Caenorhabditis elegans: one gene and its partners. The protein of the gene in region 1 interacts with the protein of each later gene in a pairwise test. Each region holds a gene or a part of one and is shown in the gene's direction. Other genes may lie near its edges.

Region 1 (3,863 bases):
AGCACGTTTCAAGTTCGAGATATCGTACGAATCCAGTGAGCTCTTCATCTTCTCCAATTCGCGATGAGCACTATCAAGAGCACTCTGTGCAATTTCGTTGGCTTCTTTGGGAAGATTCAGGACATCGAAGTTTAAGGCGCTTGCATTGAGGGCAAGTCCAAGGCGAATTGGGTGAGTTGGCTGCATCTTGTCCTTAGCGATACCAAGAGCCTCCTGAAAGTCATTTCATTTACATCAAGAATTTAGTTATTCAAATACCTGATAAGCGATTCGCGACTTGTGTGCATGCTCTTCTCTGTTGATATCGTCGTATTGGACCAGATACCTAAAATGGTCGGCGACCATGCCACCGAAGAGAGCCTTAGTTTCATCATTTAGCGCATAGTCTCAAGCCAAACAGGCGGGGCAGTTCAAAAATAGTTTGATATATAGTTTGATATAGTTTGATGAATAGTGGCGTGGAGTACGGTTTCGCGGCAATTCAAATACTACTATTCTTGAGACCAGACGAATCGGACGATTAACGGCGGCGAGGGATTCGGATCGGGGGAACCCAATCTGTGGGACGGGCCACGCCCACGATCAAATTTTGCAACCTCCGCACGGTTCTATGGGCGTGGCCAATCCCCCGATGTCAACAAATTTTAAAAAAAACCTTCCCCGATTTTATAAATATTTCAGCTTGAAATCGCGATGTTCATTTGCGAACTCGAGGCATTTTCGAAACGTTAAATGTTCCCGCGCAATAATGCTCCGCTGAACAGTGCACGCTTTTTGTGTAGATTCATTTAAATATTCATTTTCCGTCAGATTTCATGTAGAAACCCAAAGATTCGCTCATTTCGCTGCTCGATCTTTTCTTTTTCTTCATTCAACCGTATATTATATGCATTTTTCGTTTAAACGTTTTTCAAAAATTTTTAAAAATTGCTTACAATCTTCTTTGTAAAAAGAATATATTTTGCAACCAATTTTTTCGATTCTCCATGGAAAACTTATCAATTTAAACTGCATTCACTGTTACACTGATAATGCTTTGAACGACGGCGGTCGGAGAACTTCCAACCGATTACTGTTCTCCAATTTCATGTTTCTAGAAAAAAAGAAATTTCTGTCGTTTCATAACATGTTTTAACACGCAGAGCCTTTTTTTTTCGAATGAACCGCCATTTTCTTTAAAGGCGCAAGCTATTCCCTCTGCGCGATATTTCGCCGCGAAAAAAGAAGCCCCGCGAAAAAACGTATTCGAACCGCGGAATTTCCGCGAATTTGTTGCTGGTTTCTTCTAGAATTCAACGATTCAATGCTCATTTCATCACAATTTTTTTTTGTAAAATTATCCTTCTCGCTTTTATGCTCCTCTTGCCCTCAATTTTCTGTCTAAAAGCTATCATTTCCTCTGATTTCTTCCTCGATTTTCAAATGTTGGCCCAAAATAGTGATTTTTTCTTTAATTATATCCTAATCCCCACCAACACGATTTAGCAATTCTCGAAAATTATTTTTTTGCGTTGTTCAGGTAAAAGTCCTGACGAAACCTCCTGAGTTTTGTGTAACGTGCTCACCGAAAGATTAGTGTGCTTGCTGCGCCCGTTGTCACCACTGCCATTCATCCTTCTATTCCCGTGTTTTCTTATCAAATGCCCAAAAAATCTGAAATTTTTTGTGTAGACAATGCTATATATGAGGAGCGAATGTGTGCGCCAGAGAAAAAGACGGACAGACACAAATTGAGTGAGTGTGCGTTGCCCACTTTAGTTGTTGTCATGCGACGGCGGCGGCACGCGCTCTCTCATCGGCCGGCACTGCTGTCCATCGATTTTTCTTCTTTCAAACGTCGTGCGGGCTGTTTCGAATGTTCTAGGGCTCTCCGTTTCGATTATTACTCTCGCCTATGTTCTTCTCTTTTCGTTCTCAATATTTCATTATAAATTTTGTTTCAGAAGACTTGCTCACTGAAAAAATGTCCGATACCGTGGAAGAGCTCGTTCAACGCGCCAAGCTTGCCGAACAAGCCGAGCGATACGATGATATGGCTGCCGCCATGAAGAAAGTAAGATAAAACATCATTTACGGAGGTTTCAAATTTACTATTTTTCAGGTGACCGAGCAGGGACAGGAGCTTTCCAACGAAGAGCGTAACCTTCTCTCTGTTGCCTACAAAAACGTCGTCGGAGCTCGCCGTTCATCGTGGAGAGTTATCTCTTCCATTGAGCAAAAGACCGAGGGATCCGAGAAGAAGCAACAACTCGCCAAGGAATACCGCGTCAAGGTAACTACACCAAGCAAGATTTTATTAATTTCAAGAATTTTAGTAACTTATTTACATTATTTCAGGTTGAGCAAGAACTCAACGACATCTGCCAAGATGTGCTCAAGCTCCTCGACGAGTTCCTCATTGTCAAGGCTGGAGCTGCTGAGTCGAAGGTCTTCTATCTCAAGATGAAAGGAGATTACTACAGATACCTCGCCGAGGTCGCTTCAGAGGATCGCGCTGCCGTTGTTGAGAAGTCCCAGAAGGCTTACCAGGTATTTGAAAATAACTAAATTCTTGATGTAAATGGCATGACTTTCAGGAGGCTCTTGATATCGCTAAGGACAAGATGCAGCCAACCCACCCAATTCGCCTTGGACTTGCCCTCAACTTCTCTGTCTTCTACTACGAGATCTTGAACACTCCAGAGCACGCTTGCCAACTCGCGAAACAGGCTTTCGATGATGCTATTGCTGAGCTCGACACGTTGAACGAGGATTCGTACAAGGACTCGACCTTGATCATGCAACTTCTACGTGACAATCTCACTCTCTGGACATCTGACGTTGGAGCTGAAGATCAAGAGCAGGAGGGAAACCAGGAAGCTGGAAACTAAGTACGATTTCAAAATGTTTTATTGCCATTATATAAAGCTGACCTTTTTCCTCTTTTCCTTTCACATCAAATCTTGCTTCGAAAAAATAGTTTCGGTTTTCAGAGAGCTGAACTCCGTTCTCTTTCCTCGCATCTCTTCAACTTTCAGTTATCCTCCAACATTTCCGGTACGTTAGCCGAGAGAGTTGCCTAATCACCGTTTTTGTTTTAGACTTAACGTATTCACCAATACTCCATACAACACTGCGCAATAGCATCATGAAAGAAAATTCGGTCTTCAAGTGCTCTAGATCTCCAAGCCATAATTCTCTTCATGCTCTATTTCGCTGTAATTCACTCCGTCACTATTGTCATTCCTAAAATGGCGTATTGTTCTATGATTATTATGTGCTGTAAAGTATAATGAACCCCCATCTTCCATTTTTCTCTTATTATCCCCGATCTTTATTTTTAGATCTTTTTGAACATAAATGTTTGGTGAACTTTTCCGGTTGTCCGAATTTCATCACAACTTTCCAGGAGTTTTTCGAGTAATGGAATGGAATTTATTTTCAGATTTCGATGAAGGAGCATAAATAGGATAAAACATTTGCATTAACCTCTTAGAAGGTCTCAACACGAAAAATTAAATGAAATGTGAAAAAGTGTGCGCCTTTAAGCTGCCGAAAATTTTTTGATAGTTTCTTCCACGATTCGTTAAAAATTAAGTGTTTTATGGTAACATTTGAGTGTTCTTTTGAAAATAAATATATTCTTTGTCGAAAAACTATGAAACATCGATAAAAATTCCGCAGCAATAGAAGTTTAAAATTACAGTACTCTTTAAAGACTCACACCTTTTTGCGTTCAACAAATATTAGACGTGTCGAGACTAAGTACCGTACTTTTGGCGCAAAAAGCTCAAAATTTCGCTCCTGGGCAATATAATTTTCGGAAAAAAACTTAATTCTGGAGACTTCATGTGTTTTCACAGATCATGACGAGACCGATTGAG
Region 2 (5,229 bases), 750 kb from region 1:
ATGTGCATAATCCTCATCGTTAATATTTTTTAGATCTTTTCGCTTCGAATTTTGAGCTCCCATTTCTGAAATTATATGTTTTTTATCTGAAAATCCGGATGCGAAATAGTTAGTAAAAACTGTGAGAAATCAACATTTAGTATGAGAAAAAATTCAAGGGAAGAAGAAGAAAAAGTAAGATGAATAGTTTCATATTGAAAATTTTTTTTAAAAATGCACAAAAATTTGAATTTTTGGCAAAATTTGTGTTTTCACATATAAATAAAATAATTCCGAAAATCGTAATAAAATGCAACAAAAGTTATTGAATAAGAGATTAAAAGCAGGAGGCACAACATAGTAGTCATGAATCCTCTCAACACGTGCATAATCAGTAGAAAAAGAAGAAGAAGAAGACGTGAAAAGAGTATATGTATGTAGGAGAGACGCAGAGAAGCACACAAAACGAATTGGAATTATGATGATGATGAAGAAGGAAGCGACGATGATTCATTTGGGAAGAGTGTAGAGCTGGAAAAAATAGAAATTGAAGAGAGATTAGTTATTAATAATCTCTACAAATTGATTTTTTAGTGGAAATTTGGCATCTTTCAGACCATTTTTGAGCTCTTCGGCGAATTTTTCAGCCAAAATTAATAGGTGAAGTTCTATATTTTTATACTAATTTTTAATGATAAAGTCTTGGAATAACGGTGCAATCGGCCTGATTACCACGTGGTAAATCGATTGGAAAGGCGCTAGGAAATCTAAATATATTTCAAACTAAAGTTAAGAAGGAATAAAAGGATTGACTTCATACATGAAAATTATAAAATATTCGGCCAAAGAGCGTTTTTTACTGTATTTCTAATTGGGTCCCACGGCCCATATTATTGTTTTTTTTTGAAATTTCAAAGTCGACATCAAAAACAACACTGTTTTTCAAAAATAACGAGTGGTCAAAACATCGACCGAAATTTTTGAGAATGTTTCCCATTTTTCTCATTCCGTACCAATCTTATTGAGCGCTTGGCGGATGTTCAACTTGGTTCGATTGCAGCAAATCGTTGATATTCTTCTCCAAATCATCGATTCTCGTTGTCATATCATCGATTCGCCGAATAATCTGATCCGACATGTGCTGGAATCGATCCTGTGTCTGTTGCAGAACTCCTTGTATCTGAGTTTTAGGATTTTTTAGAAAATTGACAATTTTTTTCAAGTATTTACGTACCAACGACGTCAAATCATTCATATTTCCATCGGCTGGAGCGTCGAGTTGAGCGGTTGGTGTGGTAGACTTCTCATCGGACATTTTGAACTGAAAATCTGTAAAAATACGATAAAAATCACAAAGTTTAATCAGTTTTTAAAGAAAATTTGATGAAAAATCAATTAAAACTGGTGAGAATCCAGTACCAGGCAACTAGCCGTCATCTCACAAACAGTGGAACACACAAAAGTACGGGAACAACAACACGAGAGAAAGTACGTCGAAGTGAGAGACGACAGAGAAAAAGAGGGCGGCGAGAGAGTGAAAGAGACGCAGAGAAGGAGTCATTGGAGAAGGACAGATGGTGTAAACGGCGAAAAGAGCAGAATAAGATGATTTGTTTTATGTAAAATAGTGTGGATTTCGAGGAAAATATAATTATTAGAAACACTTTGAGAAAAAAAAAACATCTGAATCGAGGAATTTTTAATTAAAAAGAGAAATTTTCAAAGCAGAATGGGTTACTGTAGCTAATAAGTTGTGTGACAAGTCGTGTTTTCGTGTGTTTGGTCCGTAAACAAAACTTCGGCGCCAAAACTTCACTCGTTTCAGCAATTTTTAGGAAGTTTCCAGAAATTTTTCCTCATTCTTGCTTTTTTTCGTGATGAAATCTCGTTTTCTTTTAAGAAGTTCTTAAATTTATCAATAAACCATCAAAATTCAAGTTTTAGGCCGTCTTGCCGTGATGTCTGCCGACTACTCATCGGAGAAGTTCAAGGCGACGCATCTGGTATTAAAATGTTTCACATTTGTCTTTTGAAATTTTATTCTGATTTTCAGTTCGACGAAATTCTATGGCATTTTCGTTCAAACTTATCACTCAAAACGAACAGAAGAGGATTGGCCACTGCGGAAAACAGTTTCAGCGGGAAAGAAGCTGTGGATTTTCTGATGATTGAAATGCCACGAATCATCCCTAACAATGTTCCGGAACGAGACAAGATGCAGAAGTTCCTGGAGTTCATGATGGACATGAACGTGATTTCAGAAGCCTTCCCGAAGAAAGTCAAGCAAAGGAGGCCATTCAGTGAATCGAGAATATATTTGTTCATGAAGACTTTGGATGAGTTGAAGCATCCCAAGCCCCGATCACGTCGATCAGCGTCTTTCAGTGGTGCTCGCAAAAGTGCAAAGTATGCCAAATAATCATTTTAAACTGTGCTATAAAATATATTTCCAGAGTTGCTCAACCTGCCTCTCCTGCCGCGACAATGCACCGGCCACCAAAGGCAAGGCTCCCACGAAGATTATCGCGATCTAATGGCAACATTGACAAAGCAGGCATCGATAATTCTTCAGGCGGCGTTGAGAATCACGGTTTCGATGATCATAAAGACGATGAAATCCCGAAGAAACAACGAACTCCGAAGATTTTGAACAGATCACTTGAAAGTATCTGTACAGAAGAATATACTGAAAAACGAGAAGTTTCTGAGATGAAAGAGAAGGTTTATGATTGGTTACCGTTTTTCAAATCAAGACGAAATCACACGAAAGTCAATCAACCAACCCGTCGTTCAGCATCCCTTGATCGAAATCATTGTGTTTTGGAACAAGAAAAAGCTGAAGCTGCTCTTCGTAGTCAGAAAGTAACCACTCCGCCAATTCGAGAAGCCCCGAAAGACGTCGTCTTTATGCATCCACAAGGACCGTTGCCTGCAGTTCCTAGCAGATATCAAAATCATCGGACAAGCATCGCAGGATCAAATCCAGCATTGTTATCGCGTGGAAGAATGTACGAATCCATCATGAGAAGATCGTCGGTTGTTCCAGTTGCAGACTCTGTCCAGGCAAACAACGAATGCTCATTTTGGAAAACAGAGCTGCTTGGACGATTGGAACAAATTTACGATCGCACTCTTCCCTGTGAATGGGCATCTAAAGTCGATGGATACGATATTCAGTGGAACATGATTGAAATAGATCATGCTGATGGAATCGTCAAATCGAGATGTCAGGGACTGCAGCCCGATTATCCCCAAACTGTTATTCAATTCATGGATTATCTTGTTCGATATCCCTTCGTCACGCATAAAAAAATGGACACAGGGTTGGAATACAACGTCAATCGGATTTTCATAACTCTAGTCAATCGTCTCGAAGACTTGAATGCTCCTCTTCAATTCGATGAATGCTCTCTTATTGTTAATCTCCTCTGCAAAATCGATAGCTTCGCGGCAATGCTTGACAATGGGCCTGCAAGGCGATGGTCGAAAGTGATGATTTCTTCGTCTGCGTCTAGTATTGAGGAGGCTGGATTGATGGTCGATGGATTCTCCCGTGATCTTCCAGCATGCGGAATTCGAGCTTCAAAGTATCGACGACGTGCGTTATCACCATTTGATAATAGAGTGAATTTGGAAATACAAGGTAAAGAATTTTATTTTTATTACAGTTTCACGATTTTTACTTAAAATTATAATTTCAGACGAAAAATCCTACGAAATCCGAGAGCAATGGTTGATCGAAGCAATTCAATTGGTACTTCTTTCGCTTCCAACTTCACGACGTCGGAAACTTCACAAATTTGTTACATTCATTCAATCGATCGAAACGAATGCAGTTTTCGACCTCGCTGATCCTTCTAACGGATCTTCCAACAATCGGGAAGCGGTAAGGAGGGGATAATTTTGCAAGAAAACTACTGTAACCGGTCTCGACACGACAACTTTTTGTTAGATAAGAAAATGTGTGCGCCCTCAAGGAGTACTGTAATTTCAAACTCTCATTTCTGCCGAATTTTTATGGATTTTAATTAGTTATTTGATAAAAAAAAATATTTATCAATTTAGCACTACAAAATTAACACCTATATTTCAACAATTAAAATTCTGCAGAAATCTTCATTCGTTTCATTCGACAAAAGAAAAATTTGTCGCCTCGAGACCGGTACCGTACTTTTGTCGCGAACTTTTGCGTCTGCGTAATATCAATTTTAAATTTTCGATTTCAGGCAATCATCGGACTCTGGACAGGTGTTTGTAGTAAATGCCGAAAGCAACAAGGAATGCTGATAACCGCTGTCCTCCTCGCAAACTTTCAATCTCTTTTTGCAGTACCTGTTGAATTTATCGAACAGGTCAAACGATTGGAATGTGAAGAAAAGGACAGATATAGTGGTCCTCGGTACGCAAAGATCACCAGAAGTCGAAATGATTGGCAACCACCAGTTCCGGATAAACCGCAAGCATCTCCGGCAGTTTTTAAGAAACCACTAAGAGAAGTGGCATGTGAGAAAACGAAGAAAGGATTGTTCACAAGATTGCTGCGTAAATAAATCTAAAAATCTTCGCCCCATGTATATATTCAATATATTATTTATTTTGTTCCATTCCTCCCCGCTCACCGAATTCTTGTGTCATTATCATCATTTTTCTAAATGTTATTTTACAATTCTGGTTGAATTGAAATTCTCGATGTTCGTTTTGTTCCATAAATTTTGACGATGATTTATCTATATGTATTTATTTTCTTCTATGCTTTAATAACACAGAAAAGGGGGAATTTCAAAAAATTTATTAGGATACATTGAGGACTATTGTGGGATGGCGAGCTCCTCGTAGTTGCCCTCCTAAAAACGTTCGTTTTGTCTTTTAAAATATGCCAAAAATAACTCACATCTTCTTTCTTTGGAGCCACTGGTTCATCCTTCTTTGACGATGGAACGTCTTGTTTCTTCGAATCGAATGAGTCGCTTTTTCCGACTCCTCCAGCAGGTGCTGCCATAAGTTTAGCGACCGGTTTTGGAGCCACTGTTTTCTTCTTGCTCCCACAATGGACCAGCACAAATGGCAAGATATTGAGAGTTAATAGCAAAATGATCTGGAAGCGAGAGGTTTGGAAAATATCAGAATCCTGACAGAAAACTCACTTGCGAGATCATTATTCTTTTTTCGCTTCCGAGAGGTTTTGAATCTTGTAAAGTGAGAAAATATGAATTTTGTAGATTTTCGGAGGCTTTATATATGAGAAATTGT
Region 3 (5,165 bases), 1.5 Mb from region 1:
CAAATAAAGTGAAAGTTAATATGAAGCTGATTTAAATTTGATATTCCCCGTAGTGGAAAACGGTTTCTCGCGAGAAAAAGCGCATTTCTTGCGTTTTTTCAGTGAAATTTGTATGAATGTAACCGATCCGTTGTGTTTTTCCGCCCGTTTTCTTTTAATGAACTGAAAATTCATTTTTTAGTTTTCAGATGCGTTTTTTTGGTGTACGGACAGTCCAGATTGCTTCTTTGGCTGGATTCTCGTGGGGAGGATCAAAGCTGGACGATATCCAAACAGCAAAACTCAGAACATGCCCAATTCAAGTTCAGCAACCCGAGAAAGTGCAGAATGATGTCCTCCTCAGTCGAAAAGTTATTAATCACCTGGATAAGTCAAACTTGAAGCTCCGATTGTATCAATACGAGACTTGCCCGTTCTGTTGCAAGGTGCGTTACTCTTGTGTGAAGTATGAAAACTATTAATCAAAAATACAGGTTCGAGCCTTCTTAGATTATCACGGATTCTCCTATGAGGTTGTAGAAGTAAATCCAGTCACTAGATCACAGATCAAGTTTAGCACAACTTATAAAAAAGTAAGTTTTCATTCACATTTCCGGTTGTTTTATCTATTTTCTTTCAGGTTCCAATTCTCAGGAGTGGCGAGACAACTATGACCGAGTCTACTTTGATTATTTCCACATTGGCAACATATCTTCAAAGACCCGATCAGTCACTCGACCAGATAATACAAATGTATCCAGCAGTTGATTCAACAAACGAGAAAGGAAAGCCAGTGGGTTTTTGAATTACTCTGCAATTTTAAAACATCCTTGCTGATTCAGGTTCTCAACTACCCTAACAAATTCTTCGTTATGAAGGGAAAAGTAGACGGGGACGCAAATATGGCTTCTGCCAGAGAAGAGCGGGAATGGAGAGAATGGGTGGACAATTGGTTCATCCATCTTATTTCTCCTAATGTATATCGTAATTGGAATGAGTCTGTCGAGACATTCCGTTGGTTCGAACAAGTTGGCGACTGGCATCGTACTTTTCCAGCCTGGGAGAGAGTTCTAGCGGTATACGTGGGTGCAGCAGCAATGTTTTTACTTTCAAAAACATTGAAGAAAAAGTAAGTTAGTTAGAAGTTTATATCATGATTTCTGATATTAAAGGCACAACATCAATGATGAACGAGAAGAATTGAGAAAGGCTTGTCGTGACTGGATGGCAGCAATTGGACCAAATAGACAGTTTTTAGGAGGAGATGAACCGAATCTAGCTGATCTGGTTGGTTTGATTTTTTGGAGAAGGATTTACAATCTGATATATTTTCAGTCATTATATGGAGCTATGAATTCTTTCTATGGATGCTCAGCGTTCAAAGAAGTTATTTTAGAAGAAAAAATTGCTGAATGGTGGCGAAAAATGGATGCACTTGTCAAAAACCACGATGGAAGAAAAGCATTGGAATCAAGAAGTCAAAAATAAAAGATTGAAATTGTTAATATAGACTAGTCCTTGATTTAGTGCCTTATTGTTTGCTGTGTTTTTGTTATCTTTCTCATCCTATTTGTCTTATTGAATCAATTCAATGTTTTACCAGCTAGGATCTCATTTTAGTTAAAATTCTACATTTTTCCCTCATAATAAACCATGTTTTACTCTGCATTCATGAAGACGGCAGTTTGCGCCATGCAGCGTTTGTTGACGCGCATTTGGTATCTCCCGTTGACGCAGTTGGTTCACTTTTGAATTGATTTTCGTATTCAGTTCTGGTCTACTTTTAATAAAATTAATCATATCGATAAACGATGTCACGTGATAGTGGCAACGATTCAGAAGTTGCGGTCACACACGGGGAAGTGGTGAGTTAATTTATTAGATTTTTTTAAAATTTCCTTACTAACAACCTAACGTAAAATGTTTCAGCAAGAAATAACGGAGGAAAATCCAGAAATCGGTTCTATGCACATTACACAAGAAACAGATATTTCCGATGCACCCGAAACAAACACAGATTCGAGTAGACAAAGAACAGAAAGTACAACCAGTGTCAGTTCAGAGTCTTGGCAAAATAATGTGAGTTTTCGCCAAAAAATGAAGATAAATTCCCAAGGAGATTAAAATGTTTCTAAATTAATATTTTTCAGGACGAAATGATGTCGAATCTTCGTCGTGCTCAAAGACTTCTTGATGATGGTGCCACTCCATTACAAATTATTCAACAAATTTTTCCTGATTTTAATGCATCACGAATTGCAACAATGTCAGAGAACGCGGTACTTAAAAAAAAAATTAAAATTGACAATTTCCTGAAAAAAAAACCAATTTTCAGCATTTCGCCATATTAAGCGATCTTCTAGAACGTGCTCCTGTAAGGCAGAAACTCACAAACTACAACTCACTAGCAGATGCAGTCGAACTATTTAAAACAAAGAAACATATTCTTGTGTTGACTGGCGCTGGAGTGTCAGTATCCTGTGGAATTCCAGATTTTCGAAGTAAAGATGGTATTTATGCACGACTTCGGAGCGAGTTTCCCGATCTTCCTGATCCGACAGCAATGTTCGATATTCGTTACTTCCGAGAAAATCCTGCTCCGTTCTACAATTTTGCGAGAGTAGGTTATTTTTCCTTTTACTGTGTTTAAGCTAATAAGATCAATAAGTTTAGTTTGCCAATTTTTGCTTAAATATACCAAAATTAGCCCGATTTTTTTTCACAATGAGACTTTTCAAAAAATTTTCGAACACTTTATGGCGGGCCAGAATATCGGAAAAAAGGAGCCACATTTTGCTAAAATCTGAAATTGGCGAAATTTTAAATTTTAGCAAAATTTGGCTCTCTCTTTTCGATATTCTCAGCCGCCAGAAAAATTTGTTCGAACTTTTTTGAGAAGTCTCATTATTTATGATATTTGTTTGTTTCGAGACAGTTCTATTTAATTTTAAAAGAAAACCCCACAAACTCTATTCTCCTCTAACGTTCCATTTCTCTAGTAAATCCCAATTGAACTCGCTGCAGCGACGCTGTCTCAAAAATTTCAATATCCAAAAAAAAATTAAATATTTCAGGAAATCTTCCCAGGACAGTTCGTACCATCTGTATCACATCGATTTATCAAAGAGCTTGAAACTTCTGGTCGTCTTCTTCGAAATTACACTCAAAATATCGATACATTAGAGCATCAGACTGGAATTAAAAGAGTTGTGGAATGTCATGGATCCTTTTCGAAATGTACATGTACACGTTGTGGACAAAAATATGATGGGAATGAGATTCGTGAGGAAGTTCTTGCTATGCGTGTTGCCCATTGCAAACGTTGCGAAGGAGTGATCAAACCGAATATTGTATTCTTTGGAGAGGATCTCGGAAGAGAATTTCATCAACATGTTACAGAAGACAAGCATAAAGTAGATCTCATTGTAGTTATTGGATCTTCTCTCAAAGTTCGACCAGTTGCATTAATTCCACATTGTGTTGATAAGAATGTTCCACAAATTCTAATCAACAGAGAATCCCTCCCACATTATAATGCAGATATTGAATTGCTCGGAAATTGTGATGACATCATCAGAGATATCTGTTTCAGTCTTGGAGGCTCCTTCACTGAACTGATTACATCTTATGATTCGATTATGGAACAACAAGGAAAAACGAAATCACAAAAGCCTTCACAAAACAAACGACAGTTGATTTCACAGGAAGACTTTTTGAATATTTGTATGAAAGAGAAAAGAAATGATGATTCGAGTGATGAGCCAACATTGAAGAAACCAAGAATGTCGGTGGCTGACGATTCGATGGATTCCGAGAAGAATAATTTCCAAGAAATACAAAAACATAAGTCAGAAGATGACGATGATACACGGAATTCGGACGATATTCTCAAGAAAATAAAGCATCCAAGGCTGCTGAGCATTACTGAGATGCTCCATGACAATAAGTGTGTCGCGGTGAGTGGTTTTGAAAATTAAAAAGTTAAAAGTTAGAAAATATTTCTAAACAACCCTACCAGTTTACAATTAATAATTTTTTCTTCAGATTTCTGCTCATCAAACCGTCTTTCCTGGAGCCGAATGCTCATTTGATCTAGAAACATTGAAACTGGTTCGTGATGTTCATCACGAGACACATTGCGAAAGTTCGTGTGGTTCGTCTTGCTCATCAAATGCCGATTCAGAAGCAAATCAATTATCTAGAGCACAATCGCTAGATGACTTTGTACTATCTGACGAGGTTAGTTCATCATAAAAACTTTCTTGAGGTGCTCTTAAAAGTGTCAAAGAAAAATTGAAAATGTAAAGCTGCAGAACAGTTTTTGAAATTTTAAACACTACTTCTGCCATTTCCGCGAAAACCTATCTATAAATTATTAATTACAGGATCGAAAAAACACGATACATCTGGACTTGCAACGAGCCGATTCATGTGATGGAGATTTTCAGTATGAACTATCTGAAACGATTGATCCTGAAACATTCTCGCATTTGTGTGAAGAAATGCGTATCTGAATCTCATGTTAAAAAATTTCAATTTTCCTTCTCTTGTGTTCTCAATTTTACACCAAATCCCATTGAAAAACGCGTTTTCATCTGTTATTGTGTGTTTAAACTTTTAAAACTTTAAATTGTTTTTCAATTCTTTGCAAACATCAAAATAAAATTAAAAAATTTCATTCTATTATGTCCATATTGAAAATCCATGTTTTGCGTAGAGTATCATGGCTGGAATAATGAGAAAACCAAGTTTTAAATATGAAAAATCGGGCTCTTTGGGTCGAAGATGTTTTGCAAAAGCTTTTCTTGATGGCTTAGCTGCTTGTCGAATCCTCCATTCAATAAGTTCTTCGTGTGGAATTGGAGTATCAGAAAACATTCGGGAGAATTTTTCGCAATTTTGGGTATATCTGAAACAACATTAGTTGATCGAAGTACATTATTAGCATTAGAATATTTAAAATTGGAATACCGTCAATGTTAATTTAACTTTAAACAAACTTTGTAATACTCAGACTGGTTTAAAAAAAAACCACGCCCATTTCTCCGTGCCGCAATTTGTTTGGTTTTGACTCCTGTTTCCAATTTTTGATAGAATAATGAGATTAGAAAGTTCAAAAATCGCTAAAATCATCAATATTTTTTCAAATTTAATGCATTCATTTCGTTGTAGTTTTGTGGTATCTT
Region 4 (4,889 bases), on another chromosome or scaffold:
GAGAGACGGTGTTATTCATGCATACCTCTACACAAATAGTGTCTCGGTCAATCGGACCTATGAGTCTCATTGACATTAAGTTGAGGTATGAACGTCGATGGCAATACCTCGCCTGCTCTTTTTTTTTCGATAAAAGGCAATTAAAAATATCTTTCTTGTAGATTTTTAAACTTTCGGAAAAGCAATCGTAGAAAAGTGCAAAAAGTTGATTGTTCAGTTTGAGCTTTTCCATTCAGGCTCTCCGAGCATTTGACAAGCCGCGCGAGCTCCGCTGGTAACTCACTGTTTTTCTAATATCCAATCGCGCACCGCTGCGCCAATCTCTGTTCATTTCGTCGTTTGCCAGCTCAACTAATAGTCGGGACAGCACCCACTTCATATAACTTATTGACACGACTATAATTTGTCATTTTGCTTCTCCAATCCATCTCATGAAATATGTGTGTCGTGGCGTCAAGTTGGCATATGCAATGAGGTGATGGCTCTCTAACTCTTGTGCAATACAGCTGGTGCGCACTGACTCAACCTTCTCTTTTTTGACATTTTACATTAGGAAAATGCCAATCAGAAAGTGTAATGGTACACAATATGTGACCTATAGTCGGTTTTAGTTTATTTTACGCCGAAAATACGGTACCCGGTCTCGACACGACAAACTGTTGTTAAATGCGAAAAGGGTTGCGCCTTTAAGGAGTACTGTAATTTCAAACTTTCGTTGCTCAAGAATTTTCATTGAATTTTCATAGCGTTCCCCACATATATGTATTTAACAAAACATTTTCGTATCGTATTTTTGGAAAAACGCAAAATTCCGCGTCTGATTTTAAATCACAAACCGACAATAAGGTTTTCCGAATCCAAGAAAAATTGAATTTTCCCCAAAAAGTAGAGCAATTTATTTTCAAGTCTTTCCTGTTTTTTTACAAATCCATCCCAGCACAACTCGGTGTTCTTCCAAAAACTCGTCTCCTCCAACATGCTCATTATAATGGATCATCATCTTCTCTAGAGGATCCTCTGTGTGACTTCTCCACTTGACAAATTGCCCAAGTGGAAATAAAATAGGCACATTTGGAAATCCTTGGTGAGCACTGAGAGAGAAAATAGAGTAGAGAGAATCCAAAAATGTAATTGGATAACCACCTTCCTCCCGTTCTGTCTTCCAGAAATGTCCTCCCATTTTCCCAGCAAAGGTTTCATTGTTTGTTTTGATATCAAAAATTCATTTATTATTTAGCTATGCGATGAGCAATGCGATGACTGCGAATTCAGTTTTAAGGCCGCTTTTTCTTAAATAAAATTTAAAAAAATTTGTAGACTTGTGAAATTGAGAAATACAGTAATCATTTTTCGGAACAGATGGGTACGGTACGCATTCGCGGCGAGACCTATCGCATGGCGGGAAATTTTTTTTGAAAATTAAAATCTGCAAAAACTTCAAATTTTTAGATTGTCTATTGATTTATGTGCGATATTTTGAGTTTTTTCTCATTCCGTCAACTAATTCTCGTCCAGAAGATCAATTAAGCTATTCAGATCTTGAAAACACGAAAAAATCCGATTGAAATCGGAAATCGGGCCGATTTTTTTCAGAATATTGTTTTTCGAGCTGAATTTGTCTGCGCAAAAACAAAACTTAAAACGCTGAATTTTTTGTATTACAGATTTGAAAACTCAAGAATAAAATCACTAAAAAGCTAATTTTTGTATCCTTTTAAAATTGGCGCGGGCAATTCGGACAAATTTTTAAGATTTTAATGTTTTCCCGCTAAATTCAAACTTTTTTCCATCGCTGAGCACACTAAATCATTTGCTCTTTCTCTCTTACTGTTACTTACTTCACAGACACACCAATCATTTTCTTATCACTCTAATATATATTTTCTTGCAGATAGAAAAGGTCTCGCAGAGCAAATAGGTGCGAAACGAGAGAGCCTCTCGGGAGGAGAAACGTTGATTGGTTTGTTAAAACTTCTTTTCATTTCATTTAATTTTTCTTTATATCTGCTCATTTTCAGATCGATCATCATGTCGGCTTCATCCACGTCATCATCTAGCACATCGTGTCCGGAAGGTGGCGAACCATCGGGAAGCTGTAAAAGCAGCGACGAGGGTGAATCGACACTGAAAAAACGAATGCAACAGTACGGAATTGCGAGTGGTTACGCGAATTCCTCAATATCTACACTTGATAGAGTGCGGAAGTTTTTTTTTCTTAAAAATTGGAGAAAAAATCTTGAATTATCTTTCATTCACGCTTCAGAAATCTTCAATTCAAACTGTCAACAGTTCTACCCGATTTTTGTTTCAAAAAAATGCTTGAACTGCTGAGAATTCCATTTCTGCAAATTTTCATACTGCAAAAATGCGCATTTTAAAATGATTTTGTAAATTCAAATTTTTAAGTCAAAATCCGAATTTTGTACACATTCTATTTTTGAGTTGGAAAGTTTAAGATCCTTTTCAAATTTGAAATTTCTGGCTTTTTCGATTATAACACCGAAATCTGGAATTATTTTTTACTTTAAAAAATGTGAAATCCATTGAATATTTGAAACCTTGGTTGTAATTTATAATTATAAGCAATATTTTAATTTTTCAGAGCCAATATCAATCGCTTCCACTGAATGGAACTCGCCGAGTCACTGTTCAATTTGGACGAATGAAAATTGTGGTACCATGGAAGGAATCGGTGAGCTTTTTTTTCAAATGTTCAATCAATTTTTTAATATTTTTCTTGTTCAGGATCAGACAGTTGGTCAACTAGCAGACGCAGCACTTCTTCGGTACAAAAAAGCGAGGGGAATGGTAATTTTTTTTCTCCAAAAATTTGCAGAAAAAAGGTCATTTTGGAGGCAAAAAAGCGTATCCCAAATTTTCCCATGAATACAGTCAGTCGGGAATAATGAAAGGAAAATCAACAAGAAGCACGCAATTTTATCTTCGTCTTATTCTCTTCCAATATTATTCCATTCCCGAAGAAGCAGCAGCCCCCTTTCGTTTTCTCGGAGAGGTTAATTCGGCTGAGAACAAGGCCGCACCGATGAGGATGTGTTGAATACCATTTCTCTGTTCATTTTCACCAAATAATCCCCTTCCTTTTCCGCTTTGGAGAAAAAGAAAGTTTGGAAGAGACGCAGACAGTGTTACAGTGTGTTGTTGGCACACAACACTGTAAATAATAGATATTTCTTCATTCTCTCTCATAAGTGACTGTCAAAAAGTTTTACTATTTTGTGGAGTTGAACTGTGGTGCTCTTGGATTTTTATTTAGTTACTCCTGATCTTCTCACTTTAAACATTAAGACTTAGTGGTTATCATCCCAATTTATATTTACTAAGCAGTAAAACATTTATCTTGATTGAATATCCAATGATCGCTTCATTTTCTTGAAAATCTCTACAAATTGAAGGCAATTTTCTCCTCTTGGACCACCAACCATAACTAGCGAATCCTAGCCAAAGAGGGATTAATTTCCAAAATGGATTCTGGTCGAATTTGACTTTAATCGGCGTACGCTGTGCGGCATGGAAATTCCGGAGGCCGTCGCCTCGTCCCGATTGGATTTTGCAATTTGCAATAAACGGATTGATTTCGACGCGCTTGGTAGATTTTTGTTTATATAACATGCATTGGTCTCTCACCATGTTCACTTCATGGCGGATTTTGTACGAATCTCTTCCCCCTCATCATCATCGTCGTCGATCATCATGCTTCCTGTTCGCGCAGGTTGTAGCATTCGTTTCGCAGTAAATTAAGTTTTCCGCTGTAGGCAGGCAGTTGATCTAAATAAATCTGATAAGAATTTATTCGAAGGCTTAAGATTTGTTATCTCTCTCTCTCTCTCTCTCTCAGTTTTGTTGATTTAGATTTATTTGACGTTGAGGACGATATAATCATTATCAGCAGCAACAACCAACTTGAAATTAATCAAATGGAATGTATAGTTGGACGTTGTGTAATAGGAGTACGAGTAGAAAGTGTGAGTCAATTGCAGAAATTAGTGTTTTGTTAGGAAGTTGGGCGCCAGTTTTAAACCCGCCGCCTACACTTTTGATATTACGATGAGCACGGTTCAAAGGCAGGAGTTTTTTTTTCAGCCGTATCAGACTTTATAAATTTTCCATTTACTAATTTGATCCAGTTTTTATGGTCATGTAACATGTAAAGCTGTGTTTAGTCCCAGCCGAAAAGAAAATTGAACAGAACTCAAAGTTTTCGTGTGACTAAAAAAATATGGTGAGTCACCTTGGAATGTTTTTGTTCGGTTTTGAATTTCAATTCAAAAATTGTGAACAACTTTGGCGTTATTCATAATTGTGGAAGTTTTGAATTTCAGTTGAAAAATGAAAATTGTGATGTGAAAACCTTGAATTATTGTTCCTTTCAAACTTATTGTATTTGACTCCAAAGGCCTCCGAATAGCTCCAGAACATGTGAATTGGCAGCACTTAAAGTTGTTCATCTATCTCTATCTCTCTCTCCTCGCCATCATCGTGAAATAAAGCACCCCCTATTCTACATGCAATGTCATAACACTCATATCTCATGTTATCGCCATCCTCCGCTGCCACTACGAATCATCTGTTCTGAAAGCAGCTTTTTTTCGGGTGGTTTTTGTATTTTTCTTTACTGATAAACAGCTTGTGTTGTTGTTGTTCGCGACGAGAACAAATATCATGGACATTTTACCAACTATTGAGAAGATAAGAAGAAATGGTTAGGAATGATGTGTATATAGACATCTTCCCCTTTCTATCTCTCTTCCCTTCTCTTCCGAGTGTTTCTGTTTCTATTTGTCGTTCGATCTGATGATTGTCGTCATTTTTTCTCAGCCGCTCCTCTTCTTGATGCCCTTGCGCAACCCCACCGTGGCTTACTTGTTGGG

What was found.
Region 2: the proteins of par-5 (region 1) and let-99 interact in a two-hybrid assay, tested with the Caenorhabditis elegans proteins (one study listed by BioGRID).
Region 3: the proteins of par-5 (region 1) and sir-2.1 interact in binary tests that used the Caenorhabditis elegans proteins (3 or more experiments, as listed by UniProt).
Region 4: the proteins of par-5 (region 1) and par-3 interact in a two-hybrid assay, tested with the Caenorhabditis elegans proteins (one study listed by BioGRID).

What each region holds. Positions count from the first base shown.
Region 1 is NC_003282.8:11,819,998-11,823,860, reverse strand, and holds par-5 (14-3-3-like protein 1), read left to right. Parts: upstream 1-1,943; 5' UTR 1,944-1,963; coding exon 1,964-2,053; intron 2,054-2,101; coding exon 2,102-2,272; intron 2,273-2,337; coding exon 2,338-2,529; intron 2,530-2,576; coding exon 2,577-2,870; intron 2,871-2,972; 3' UTR 2,973-3,036; intron 3,037-3,080; 3' UTR 3,081-3,355; downstream 3,356-3,863. Other genes in the region: M117.3 (14-3-3 domain-containing protein), read right to left, coding at 1-213, 259-345. UniProt on the Caenorhabditis elegans protein: Required to modulate lifespan, in concert with hcf-1, acting redundantly with 14-3-3-like protein ftt-2.
Region 2 is NC_003282.8:12,565,919-12,571,147, forward strand, and holds let-99 (Protein let-99), read left to right. Parts: upstream 1-1,923; 5' UTR 1,924-1,937; coding exon 1,938-1,982; intron 1,983-2,032; coding exon 2,033-2,385; intron 2,386-2,432; coding exon 2,433-3,622; intron 3,623-3,680; coding exon 3,681-3,865; intron 3,866-4,205; coding exon 4,206-4,529; 3' UTR 4,530-4,704; downstream 4,705-5,229. Other genes in the region: eak-7 (MTOR-associated protein MEAK7), read right to left, coding at 1-63; hsb-1 (Heat shock factor-binding protein 1), read right to left, coding at 998-1,159, 1,214-1,294; K08E7.4 (uncharacterized protein), read right to left, coding at 4,788-4,823, 4,871-5,074, 5,124-5,135. UniProt on the Caenorhabditis elegans protein: Required for the proper orientation of spindles after the establishment of polarity. May play a role in interactions between the astral microtubules and the cortical cytoskeleton. Required for asymmetric forces on nuclei and spindles.
Region 3 is NC_003282.8:10,362,814-10,367,978, reverse strand, and holds sir-2.1 (NAD-dependent protein deacetylase sir-2.1), read left to right. Parts: upstream 1-1,749; 5' UTR 1,750-1,790; coding exon 1,791-1,844; intron 1,845-1,908; coding exon 1,909-2,058; intron 2,059-2,129; coding exon 2,130-2,258; intron 2,259-2,314; coding exon 2,315-2,599; intron 2,600-3,053; coding exon 3,054-3,935; intron 3,936-4,023; coding exon 4,024-4,218; intron 4,219-4,364; coding exon 4,365-4,493; 3' UTR 4,494-4,661; downstream 4,662-5,165. Other genes in the region: pges-2 (Prostaglandin E synthase 2), read left to right, coding at 189-425, 474-572, 620-772, 822-1,108, 1,152-1,266, 1,315-1,467; ugt-59 (glucuronosyltransferase), read right to left, coding at 4,663-4,888. UniProt on the Caenorhabditis elegans protein: NAD-dependent deacetylase. Involved in metabolism, apoptosis, response to oxidative stress, response to DNA damage, and determination of lifespan.
Region 4 is NC_003281.10:5,662,344-5,667,232, forward strand, and holds the start of par-3 (PDZ domain-containing protein), read left to right. Parts: upstream 1-1,889; 5' UTR 1,890-1,960; intron 1,961-2,018; 5' UTR 2,019-2,028; coding exon 2,029-2,196; intron 2,197-2,602; coding exon 2,603-2,692; intron 2,693-2,745; coding exon 2,746-2,808; intron 2,809-4,889. UniProt on the Caenorhabditis elegans protein: In cooperation with pkc-3, required for establishing cell polarity and regulating spindle orientation in the early embryo. Localization is crucial for recruiting par-6 and pkc-3 to the peripheral apical cortex and restricting par-2 to basolateral surfaces.